Linked DNA regions of Macaca fascicularis. The protein of the gene in region 3 purifies or fractionates together with the protein of the main gene of each other region. This does not show direct contact. Links are inferred from orthologs where the notes say so. Each region holds a gene or a part of one and is shown on either strand. Other genes may lie near its edges. The genes, in order: ISCU, SDHAF1 and HSCB.

Region 1 (4,261 bases), on a different chromosome or scaffold from region 3:
ACTCTCGGGTCTTCCCGCGGCCGCCGAAGACCCGCTGAGGCAGAAGCTGCCCGCGGCGCGCGCCTTATCAAAAGCCCGTTTTCTTGACACTGAAAGGGAAACTGGGAACCTTAGATAACGAGAAAATCTCCAAATACACTAAATTCATTTTATTTTATACCCCTGTAAAAACTCCCACCAGAGAAAAAACTCATTATCATGGCATACGTTCCGTCACAACTTCGGACAGAAGTTGGGTCTTTGGGCAGGAAGTGGAGGCCATAGAGGAAGTCATGAAGCGAGCGTGGTGTCTGTAGTAAAGAATTTGGCGCCATCTTGAGAAGGTCAAAGTGATTCTTAGAAAAAATACCTTACTTATCGCCTAGTGTGACCTGGCGCTTGGGTTTAGTCTCCCCAGCAACTGCACCTCAAACGCAAAGAAAACTGCAGGTCCTCGGGGAAGGATCGATTTCACCATTCAAGAGAAAAATCCATTTCCCAAAGAAATTCTTCCCCTTTATGTAAACATCTGGTACCTAGGAGGCGTTAAATACACTTGAGTTTTCCGGTTTTATAAGCTCACATACTGCAAACCAACAGTAAATACGCATTTCTTTAGAAATTCTTAATTGCTAGGCACCGACATATAAATTGAATTTGCTGTTGTTTCAGAGAGAAAAATAGACATATACTCATTTTTTTTCAATCAGGACATGGTGTTCGTTTCCTTCTTAAGCTTCCCATTGTTGAGGTAGGCAAGTACTGGAGTGTGTCTCTATCTCTACCTTGCTCCCTCATTAGCAAGCTTAATGGGCAGGAATTACGTCTGTTTTGCTTTCTGTTGGATCCCCGGGTCTAGTAGAGTGCCTTGACACATAGTAGGTACTCAACACAGATGCTGGCTTCATGATGAAGGAATTGTCCTCGAATTAATACAAAAAGGAAGATTCAGACTTAGCAAGCCGGTACCATTTGTCTAGGGACACACAGCCAGGAAGGAACCGAACCAGGATTCTAACCCAGGACTACCCAAGTTCGAATTCTAGTTGAACCTAAGCCCTAAGCGACCTTGGACGGAGTGACCAAACTGCCCTGAATCTCAGCTTCCTTAGCTGCAAAATAGGGTTAGGAAAAGTGGACTCAGTGGTCCTCTGCGCCGCATTCCCACACTGCAGAAGCCTGAGATCCTCTCTCAACCAGAATCCAGCACCCAGGACAAGCCCTCTAGCGACTTCAGACCTTCCCGCTCCCGACCCCGCCCGCCCCCGAGAGGCGTGGTCAAGGCGGGGCCACAGGGCGGAGGCTTGCACGGAACGGTAAGGCGCAGGCGCAAAGCCTCGGTGACGCCAGAGAGGCGCGCTCCCAGCTCGGCGCCGACTCGCAGACGCGCCCCGCCCCTCGGCATCGCTCTGGACTGGCGCAGGCGCAAGCCGGCAAGATGGCGGCAGCTGGAGCTGGCCGTCTGAGGCGGGCAGCGTCGGCTCTGCTGCTCCGGAGCCCCCGCCTGCCCGCCCGGGAGCTATCGGCCCCGGCCCGACTCTATCACAAGAAGGTAGGGACAAACGAGGGGACACGCGGAATGCCGACTCGGGGGAGGCCTGGGCTGGAGCGGCGGCCGCGGGGTTCTACGCAGCCAGGACTAGCTGTCGCCTCCCACGTCTTTGCCCTGACTCACTTTCCCTTGCTGCGCAGTGAGGCTCACTGCAACTGATAAACAACAGTTACCGCTCATCGGGCTGCGACTTCCAGGGGGCCCCGCCGCTGGCCGCGACTTCGTGCGTCCCAACTTTAAATTCGCCAACAGCCCAGGAGGCAGGGTCCTGTTGGGACTTGTCTTTTAGAGTCCAGGGACAGACACACCCCCGGAGCGGGCTCCGGCTTCAGCCACGCTGCTGCCCTGGCTAGATGACCTTGCGCTAGTCACTGCGCCTCTCTGAACTTGTTTCCCCAGGTGTAAATGAGGACTCTCAGCTGTCTCTTACAAAGGATACTGTGCATGGAGTCCTGTCATGGTTCCTGGCACATAGGCCCCAGCACGAGGAGACCGTTTCTGTTACTGCTTTAGGAGTGCATAGGGGAGTCAGGCTTGTAACCAACATGCGTAGTGTTTTTGTTTTGTTTTGGGGGTTTTTTTTTGGCGGGGAAGGAGGGATAGATGCATAGTTTGCAGCCCCTTGCTGTCTGGTGACGCAAAGTCCCCCAGACGTGAGACTCCCACTCTAGAAACAAAGAATGCCATAAATCAACGTGGCACAAAAAGTCCCTCCGTTAGATACTATCCTATAGGGGCCTTTACTTGGAGTCAAAATCCTTAGTCAGATGGGGAGGAAAAGGGGACTGGAAGATCGGGGTGCTTACTACTAACCAGTAACCACATTAAGGCCTTCTGTGTGCCAGTTCGAATGGATGTTGATTCTGATCTGGCCTCTGCCCTTTCTCCAAGGGCTTCTTCACTCCTCCCCCTCCCGGCGGTGTGTTTCGTTGAGGGTACACCCCGAGGAAACTTGGACTAGCAGCCTTTCAGCAGCCAGGGTGCGCTGCTGCACCAGGGTGATGACAGGCTCTGAAATACGGTAATGGCACTGTTTTTATTTTGAAAGACACATAAACGTACACATTCCATAGCATTGTTCTCTGTGTAACAGTCACCTTAAGGCTTCTAAAAGTTTTCCCTTCCTGGGCCATAGTTATTTTTAGAATTTTTAAATAGTAATCATCCTTTGAGGATAGTTTTTATTTGAAAATAACAAAACTGCTGTTTGAGCCCAAGTCTGGTGATGTAGGTGGGTAAAAGTCAAGTATTTTTGTAAAAACCCTATGGAATTAAGACATGATTTCACTGATATTTTTTTCTTCTAGGTGTCGCTAATCTGTGAAGTAGTTGTAGAGGAGACACAAAAGGAATTGGGGGTCACAAATGGTTCTCACTGACATGAGTGTAGACCTTTCTACTCAGGTGAAATTTGGTGATTGCCTGCCAGGTTCAAGATGCTGACTTCCAGGAGCTTGCCACCATACCAGAGACCAGCACCAATAGAGAGTGAACACGATTTATCTTAACCCTCTCATTTTAGGTTGTTGATCATTATGAAAATCCTAGAAACGTGGGGTCCCTTGACAAGACATCTAAAAATGTTGGAACTGGACTGGTGGGGGCTCCAGCATGTGGTGACGTAATGAAATTACAGGTATGGCTAGTCTTTAATAGTGATAACAATAATCCCTTTAAGTTTACAAAGCACTTGCACATACAGCATTTCACTCGGTCTCCATCTTTATTCCTGTGAGATGGGATGAGTCCATGTTAGACGTGATTGGAACAGGGCCTCAATCGTAGCTCTCCTGCCAGGCTAGTGTACTATGCCGACTTTTTCCGAAATAGAAAAGTAATCTCATTTTTGTACTCACTGTATAAGTTTAAATTCCAACTTCAGCCAACGAAAGAGTTTTGTGAATTTTACTGATCAAAGGAAAATCCCAGTGAGCTAGCAGTCCCCAATGAGATAAGAAACACAGTAAATTAAACCTGTCCCCAGATTGGGAGCAACATGAAGATAGTGTCTAGTGCTTTGGGTAAACTGTTGTTGTAGCGCCAATCTGCTGCTTCATGGTGAGTGGGCAGCTTGCCAGAGATCTTCATACCTATCTTGGAATACAGAAACAAAACAGGAGGAAACCACTAAGTATAATCTGCTGCCCAAGAAAAAAGTATTAACCAGAGACCTTTATTGTGTACTCTCTCAGTGTTTAAGAGGCAGATTGCCCCAGCAGCTGTGAGCAGACTGCCTCAAATAGAAGTTCATAGCCAAAATGCAAGCCAGAGTCGCAAAACAAAATAATATTGGGGTGGAGGAACATATTTTCCAGCTGATCTTTGTCAGTTGGGCCTGGATAATTGTCCCTGCATTTCACTTTTCATCACTGAGCTCTCTGAAACAAGGCAAAATCAGTAATTAATACCATCACTTAGTATGGAAAGCAAGCCCAAAGCCCTTGGGGAAGGCCCCAATGAACCTTCGTGAGTGCCAAGTTCCAGAGGGTGGTCCTAGGACTCACCACTTAACTCTTGTCTCTTTTCTAGATTCAAGTGGATGAAAAGGGGAAAATTGTGGATGCTAGGTTTAAAACATTTGGCTGTGGTTCTGCAATTGCCTCCAGCTCATTAGCCACTGAATGGGTGAAAGGAAAGACGGTAAGGTTGCTCACAAATCTGACAGAATGAAATTGCATTCACCCCAAGCCTGTCTCTTGACGGGTCTAATGGGTCAAAAACAACCATAAC
Region 2 (3,168 bases), on a different chromosome or scaffold from region 3:
CCGAGTAGCTGGGACTACAGGCGCCCGCCGCCTCGCCCGGCTAGTTTTTTGTATTTTTTAGTAGAGACGGGGTTTCACCGTGTTCGCCAGGATGGTCTCGATCTCCTGACCTAGTGATCCGCCCGTCTCGGCCTCCCAAAGTGCTGGGATTACAGGCTTGAGCCACCGCGCCCGGCCTCTAGGACATGTATTTTTGATAGACATACATACACCCGACAGGCAGGATTCACAGTGGTTTCTGATTCTCCCTTGACTCCGAAACTCCAAGCCTAATCTCCGCCCCTGACCAGCTTCTCCTCTCTGAAGAGGAACGGACCCCCAGCTGGCTGCCGGCCCAAGTGTGTGAGCCGCAGTTGCACGCTGGGTGGAGGGGTCTGGGGTTGTCACCGAGCGGTCCCCCAAGCTCCGGTGCTGGTGGGGCCTGAGGATGCTGTGTCCTTGCGGGCCTCCCTGGCGCTACCAGGACGCCTCCAAGCGGCCCGCGGGGACAACAACGGCATTGCGGCCTACGACCTGAAGCTCCTGGGAGGACAACGGGCTGCCAGTCTAGTCCACTGTTCAGGGCGTCCCAGACTCCCGGCTTTAACAGTCCGTGAGGACCCAAACACCGCTGCCCAGTGCCCCGACTCCCACCTGCAGAGGGCGCGACCAACCCAGCTCCTAGAGCCACACGCTGCCTCTGGGGGCTTGGCGCCCACACCCCCTCTGCTTGTCTTCCCCTAGCACGGAGAAGCCTGTCCAACCGGCCGAGAGCCATTTCCCTACGGGGCCTCGTCCCTCTGCACGTGCCTAGGGCTGGGACCCCAGACACAGACCTGCCCCGGACGAGGGAACGCACGGAGATTCCCGAGATGGTTTCAATCAGTAACTGACGGCAAGAGCACGCTTGTGCCCAGTGTCTCTCCCAGTGCTCCACGCCGTTGGGACCCAAAGTCCGAACCCGTAGCAGGCCGCAGTGGCTCACGCCTGGAATCCCAACACTTTGGGAGGCTGAGAATCGTTTGAGCCCAGGAGTTCGAGGCCATCCTGGGCAACATAGCGAGACCCCATCTCTGCAAATAATAATAATAATAAAATAGGGGGCGCGGTTGCGCGCACCTGTGGTTCCAGCTACTCGGGAAGTTGAGGTGGGAGGATCGCTTGGGCCCAGGAGTTCGAGGCTGCAGTGAGCCAAGATCGTGCCACTGCACTCCAGCCTGGGCGACAGAGTGAGACCCCGTCACAAAAAAAACAAACAAAAAAACAAACCCTAGCTTCCTCTTCTCCCAGAACGCAGGAGTTAGGTCAGGACTCTCTGTTCCCTCCGACCCAAGACCTAGGAGTCCGAACACATAGCGACCTCCTCCTACGACACGCAGGTGCCAGGATCCCCAGAACTGCTGTCCCTTCAAGAACACGTGTTCCCTACAGGGGAGGCCGCGACCAGAGACTCCGCCCACTTCTCCCAGCCCGCTGTGGTGCAACAGCAACGACAGCCAATCAGACGCGGCAGCGCCGGATGGCGGGAGGCGGGAGTTGGGGGCCAAGGGAAGCGCAGGGCGGAAGTGGCTGTGGCTTTGCCCTTTGGCCTTGGCTCGCTGTGTGGCGGCTCGGCGGTTAGCAGGGAGTTCGCTGAGCGTCTCTGCCTAGCCGCGGTCATGAGCCGGCACAGCCGGCTGCAGAGGCAGGTTCTGAGCCTGTACCGCGATCTGCTGCGTGCCGGACGCGGGAAACCGGGCGCCGAGGCGCGAGTGCGGGCCGAGTTCCGGCAGCACGCGGGCCTGCCGCGCTCCGACGTGCTGCGCATAGAGTACCTGTACCGCCGCGGGCGGCGCCAGCTGCAGCTGCTACGCTCGGGCCACGCCACCGCCATGGGCGCCTTCGTACGCCCGCGGGCCCCGACCGAGGAGCCTGGCGGCGTGGGTTCCCAGCCTGACGACGGCGACGGTCCAAGGAACCCCCACGACAGCACGGGGGCACCGGAGACCCGGCCCGACGGACGGTGACTGGCGAAGAGCCGAACTCGCTCGATGGCGTGGTGGAGCCAGGAGGCTCGCCTGACTGCGTGGGGGGCCTGGGGAACCCGCCTAAGGTGAGAGATCTCGAGAGACTAGCTCGACGAATTGGGGATGTCAGAGACTGCCCCTTGGCGACGCAGGGGGCCTAGAGAGCCTCATGATGGACGGCAAGAGAGGCCCACCTTTTCCGGTGCTTGGAGACAGGTCGGCGCTCCTCCCGTATGAGGGCTTGGGGCGGCCTGGGACGCCGGCGGGCTGGACAGTGTCAAGCCGAGAGCTACTTGCCCGAAGGTACGGGGAGCCAGGACGCCCCCTGCTGGACAGGGAGAGCCTGAGACACCCTTCTCTTGACCCCTGAGAACACACCCACCTCTGGCTCCTCGAGTCTCCCCTCTCCTATATTTAACTCTGAGAAGTGCAGACTTTTTGCTGAGAAAGTATTGGGAAGGTTCCCTGATCAAGCGGTGAGAAGCCCGGAATCCCCTTTGGGAAAACTTTCCCCCATTAATTGTGACAAGCCAGGACCACGAGGAAGGGGCTAGCGGTCTGTCACCCTGGTTGATCAACTAAAGGGCCCTACTTGATGGTTTTGAGGGGCAACGTTGACTCATTTGCCCCTTCCCTCTCAGAATGTTGGACAAAGGGAATAAAATTGGGGATATGTCTACTTTCCTGTTGGTGGTCTTAAAGCTTTTATATATTTGAGGATTTTTGAAACACCCCCCCCCCCCCCACCACCACCACCGCACACACACACAGACACCTGGAAGGGACCATCTGGGAGGTAATAGGTGTGGGAATCTGACTCCCTCCGGAGTCCTCTAGACTGGCACATTGATTGAAGCAGCATAGTTCTCTCCCCTGGGCAGATTTGTGGAGGGGGTTCATCCTGGCTTAACCCCCAAAGATACCCCAGTTGGCTCCCTAATGGAGGGCAAGTTGTTTAACATCTTTGTGTGGGACAGGAAATGGTGGAGCTGAGAACTGGCTCAAAGCCTCTGAGGCAGTAGTGGGGGTCTCAGACCTGGAAATTTCTCAAACACAGCTGAAGGGTCCAGCCTCAGCTACAATGAACGACAAGGCCTGGGGCAGGGGAGGGGAGATGAACCCCATAGATCACAGGTATACTCCCTCCTGTGTCCCCATATGGGCCTGCCCTAGACATTCTGTG
Region 3 (3,649 bases):
TCAAGACCAGCCTGGCCAACATGGTGAAACCCTGTCTCTACTAAAAATATAAAAATTAGCCTAGTGCAGTGGCACACGCTTATAGTCCCAGCTACTTGAGAGGCTAAGGCAGGAGGATCACTTGAACGTGGGAGACAGAGGTTGCAGTGAGCTGAGTTCATGCCACTGCCACTCCAGCCTGGATGACTCTGTCTAAAAAAAAAAAAAAAAAAACTTTGTAATTTGGATGGTAAAGTACTATCTTCATCTCCACTAACAGACTGAAAAGGACTTCTCAGAGAAGCATTCGACCCTGGTGAATGACGCCTATAAGACCCTCCTCGCCCCCCTGAGCAGAGGACTGTACCTTGTAAGGTGATTTCCCAACCCTTTTGTGCATGAAGTCCTGATGCCCATTATGACATAGGACAGCCACGTCCCCTTTATTCAGCAGAAGAGTGCTTGAGGTCGGGCATGGTGGCTCACACCTGTAATCCCAGCACTTTAGGAGGCTGAGGTGGACAGATCACTTCAGCCCAGGAGTTCAAGACCATCCTGGGCAACATGATGACACCCCATTTCTACAAAAAATACCAAAATTAGCTGGGCATGGTGGCATACACCTGTAGTCCCAGCTACTCTGGAGTTGAAGCAGGAGGATCACTTGAGCCTGAGAGGTCGAGGCTACAGTGAGCTGTGATTGTACTACTGCACCCTCTCAAAAAAAAAAAAGAGTCCAGGGACCCAATAGTATTTAGCCTTACAGCACAAGTATAATTTTCTCTGTGAATATTACTTGCCTCAACAGCATTTTTTAAATTGTTATTTTCTAGCTTTTTTCTATGAATTTCAAGGATTTGATGTTGGTAGCTTTTAGTTAAAAGTCATTTTCTGTTGTGTTTTTTTTATTTTCCCCTCTCAAAAGTATCTTAAGAGGCCAGGCATGGTGGCTCACGCCTGTAATCCCAGCACTTTGGGAGGCCGAGGCAGGTGGATCACGAGGTCAGGAGTTCAAGACCAGCCTGGTCAAGGTGGTGAAACCCTGCCTCTACAAAAAATACAAAATAATTAGCCAGACGTGGTGGCAGGTGCCTCTAATCCCAGCTACTTGAGAGGCTGAGGCAGAGAATTGCTTCCCCAGGAGGCAGAGGTTGCAGTGAGCTGAGATCATGCCACTGCACTCCAGCCTGGGTAACAGAGCGAGACTTCATCTCAAAAAAAAAAAAAAAAAGTATCTTACAATCTAGAAAATTTTGTAATTGAATAGAATCTTTAGAAACATCTAGTTCAACCTCTGGGTGGAGGGATGACTACCCCAAGATCACACCAAGGTCACACAGTTTCAGGTAGCATTAAGTGGAAATCCCATTCCAGCATTTATGTTTCAGTCCAACCTTTTGATACCCCTTAGTCTTTCATTACTGGGACTGTTCCAGTTTTCTCTATTAGAGGTATTATTTCCTAACGGATGAGTAGGATTTAGATTACTCTGCCCATAGTTTCTTCAACTTATTTTTCTTGCTTTCTGCCCCAATAGCTAAAGCTCCATGGAATAGAGATTCCTGAAAGGACAGATTATGAAATGGACAGGCAATTTCTCATGGAAATAATGGAAATCAATGAAAAACTTGCAGAAGCTGAAAGTGAAGCTGCCATGAAAGAGATTGAATCCATTGTCAAAGGTGAAAGACAAAATAGCACCGAATGTATTTCATTGCTTGTCCAAGGATAAGTGAAAAATGAACGTAAAGAGTACATAATGGCCCAGGCACAGTGGCTCATGCCTATAATCCCAGCACTTTGGGAGGCCAAGGCGAGTGGATCACCTGAGGTCAGGCGTTCAAGACCAGCCTGGCCAACATGGTGAAACCCTATCTCTACTAAAAATACAAAAATTAGCCAGGTGTGGTAGCAGGCGCCTGTAGTCCCAGCTACTCGGGAGGCTGAGGCAGGAGAATGGCATGAACCCAGGAGGCAGAGCTTGCAGTGAGCGGAAATCACGCCACTGCACTCCAGCCTGGGCGACAGAGCGAGACTCCGTCTCAAAAAAAAAAAAAAAAAAAGGAAGGTTATTTACTTTAAGGAATTAGCTCACATAATTGTGGGAGCTGGCACATCTAAAATCTATAGGGTAGGACTGGGCGCAGTGGCTCATGCCTGTAATCCCAGCATTTTGGGAGACCGAGAAGGGCAGATCCCTTGAGTCTAGGAGTTCGAGACCAGCCTGGGCAATGTGGCGAAACTCCATCTGTGAAAAAAAAGACTAAAAAATCAGCCAAGCATCGACCGGGCGTGGTGGCTCACGCCTGTAATCCCAGCACTTTGGGAGGCCGAGGCAGGTGGATCACCTGAGGTTGGGGGTTCGAGACCAGCCAGGCCAACATGGAGAAACCCCGTCTCTACTAAAAATAGAAAATTAGCCGAGCATGGTGGTGCATGCCTATAATCCCAGCTACTCGGGAGGCTGAGGCAGGAGAATCGCTTGAACTTGGGAGGCGGGGCTTGCAGTGAGCCGAGATTGTGCCACTGCACTCCAGCCTGGGCAACAGAGTGAGACTCTGTCTCAAAAAAAAAAAAAAAAAAATCAGCCAAGCGTGGAGGTGCACACTTGTGGTCCCAGCTATCCGGGAGGCTGAGGTGGGAGAATCACCTGAGCCCGGGTGTCAGAGCTTGCAGTGAGCTGAGATCACGCCACTGCACTCCAGCCTGAGTGACAGTGAGACCCTGTCACAAAAAAATAAATAAATAAAATCTATAAGGTAGATAAGCAGGCTGAAAGTCTAGGCAGGATTTCTATGTTACAGTCTTGCTACAGAATTCCTTCCCAGAAAACCTGTTTTTGCACTTAATGCCTCTACTTGATTGGATGAGGCCCACCCACATTATGTAGGGTAACATCCATTACTTAAAGTCAACTGATTATAAATGTTAATCACATCTACAAATACCTTCACAGGATCATCTAAACTAGTTGGTTTTTGTTTTTTTGAGACATGGTCTCACTCTGTCACCCAGGCTGGAGCGCAGTGGTACAGTCACAGCTCACTGTAGCCTTGACCCATGGGCTCAAGCAATCTTCTCACCTCAACCTCTTGGATAGCTGGGACTACAGGCGTGCATCACCACGCCTGGCTAATTTTTTGTGTCTTTTATAGAGATGGGATTTCGCCATGTTGCCCAGGCTGGCTTTAAACTCCTGGGTTCAAAGCAATCCCCCTGCCTCAGTCTCCCAAAGTGCTGGGATTACAGGCGTGACTCAATGTGCCTGGCAAACAACTGGGCACCATAGCCTAGCCAACTTGACTCATCAAATTGACCATTCCACATATAAAAGATTCCAAGGTTCTCTGTTAGACTCTATTCATTACATACTTTCACAGATATTTGTAGTGTTCTACTACAAATATCAGGCACTGCGTATGACACTGAGGATACAGCATAGAACAAGAAAGACTGTGCCTTCTTGGAGTTTATATATGTCAACTGTGCCCAAAATGGATTCCCAAGTGTCTCCCCTCCCCACCTTTCCCCTAAAAAAAACCTGTTCCTCTTAGGCCGGGCGCGGTGGCTCACGCCTGTAATCCCTGCACTTGGGGAGGCCGAGGCAGGCGGATCACGAGGTCGGGAGATCAAGACCATCCTGGCTAACATAGTGAAACCCCGTCTCTAC

Evidence for each region.
Region 1: the proteins of HSCB (region 3) and ISCU purify together in Homo sapiens (affinity purification with western blotting; 3 studies listed by BioGRID and IntAct, with this or other methods). This does not show direct contact. The link is inferred for Macaca fascicularis from reciprocal best matches to the Homo sapiens genes HSCB and ISCU.
Region 2: the proteins of HSCB (region 3) and SDHAF1 purify together in Homo sapiens (co-immunoprecipitation; 3 studies listed by BioGRID and IntAct, with this or other methods). This does not show direct contact. The link is inferred for Macaca fascicularis from reciprocal best matches to the Homo sapiens genes HSCB and SDHAF1.

Annotation. Positions count from the first base shown.
Region 1 is NC_088385.1:115,395,256-115,399,516, forward strand, and holds the start of ISCU (iron-sulfur cluster assembly enzyme ISCU), read left to right. Parts: upstream 1-1,390; 5' UTR 1,391-1,417; coding exon 1,418-1,531; intron 1,532-2,422; exon of another isoform or gene 2,423-3,053; coding exon 3,054-3,167; intron 3,168-4,060; coding exon 4,061-4,171; intron 4,172-4,261.
Region 2 is NC_088393.1:43,235,699-43,238,866, forward strand, and holds SDHAF1 (succinate dehydrogenase assembly factor 1, mitochondrial), read left to right. Parts: upstream 1-1,550; 5' UTR 1,551-1,637; coding exon 1,638-1,985; 3' UTR 1,986-2,662; downstream 2,663-3,168.
Region 3 is NC_088384.1:22,920,463-22,924,111, reverse strand, and holds part of HSCB (iron-sulfur cluster co-chaperone protein HscB), read left to right. Parts: intron 1-259; coding exon 260-349; coding exon of another isoform or gene 350-354; intron 355-1,516; coding exon 1,517-1,661; intron 1,662-3,649.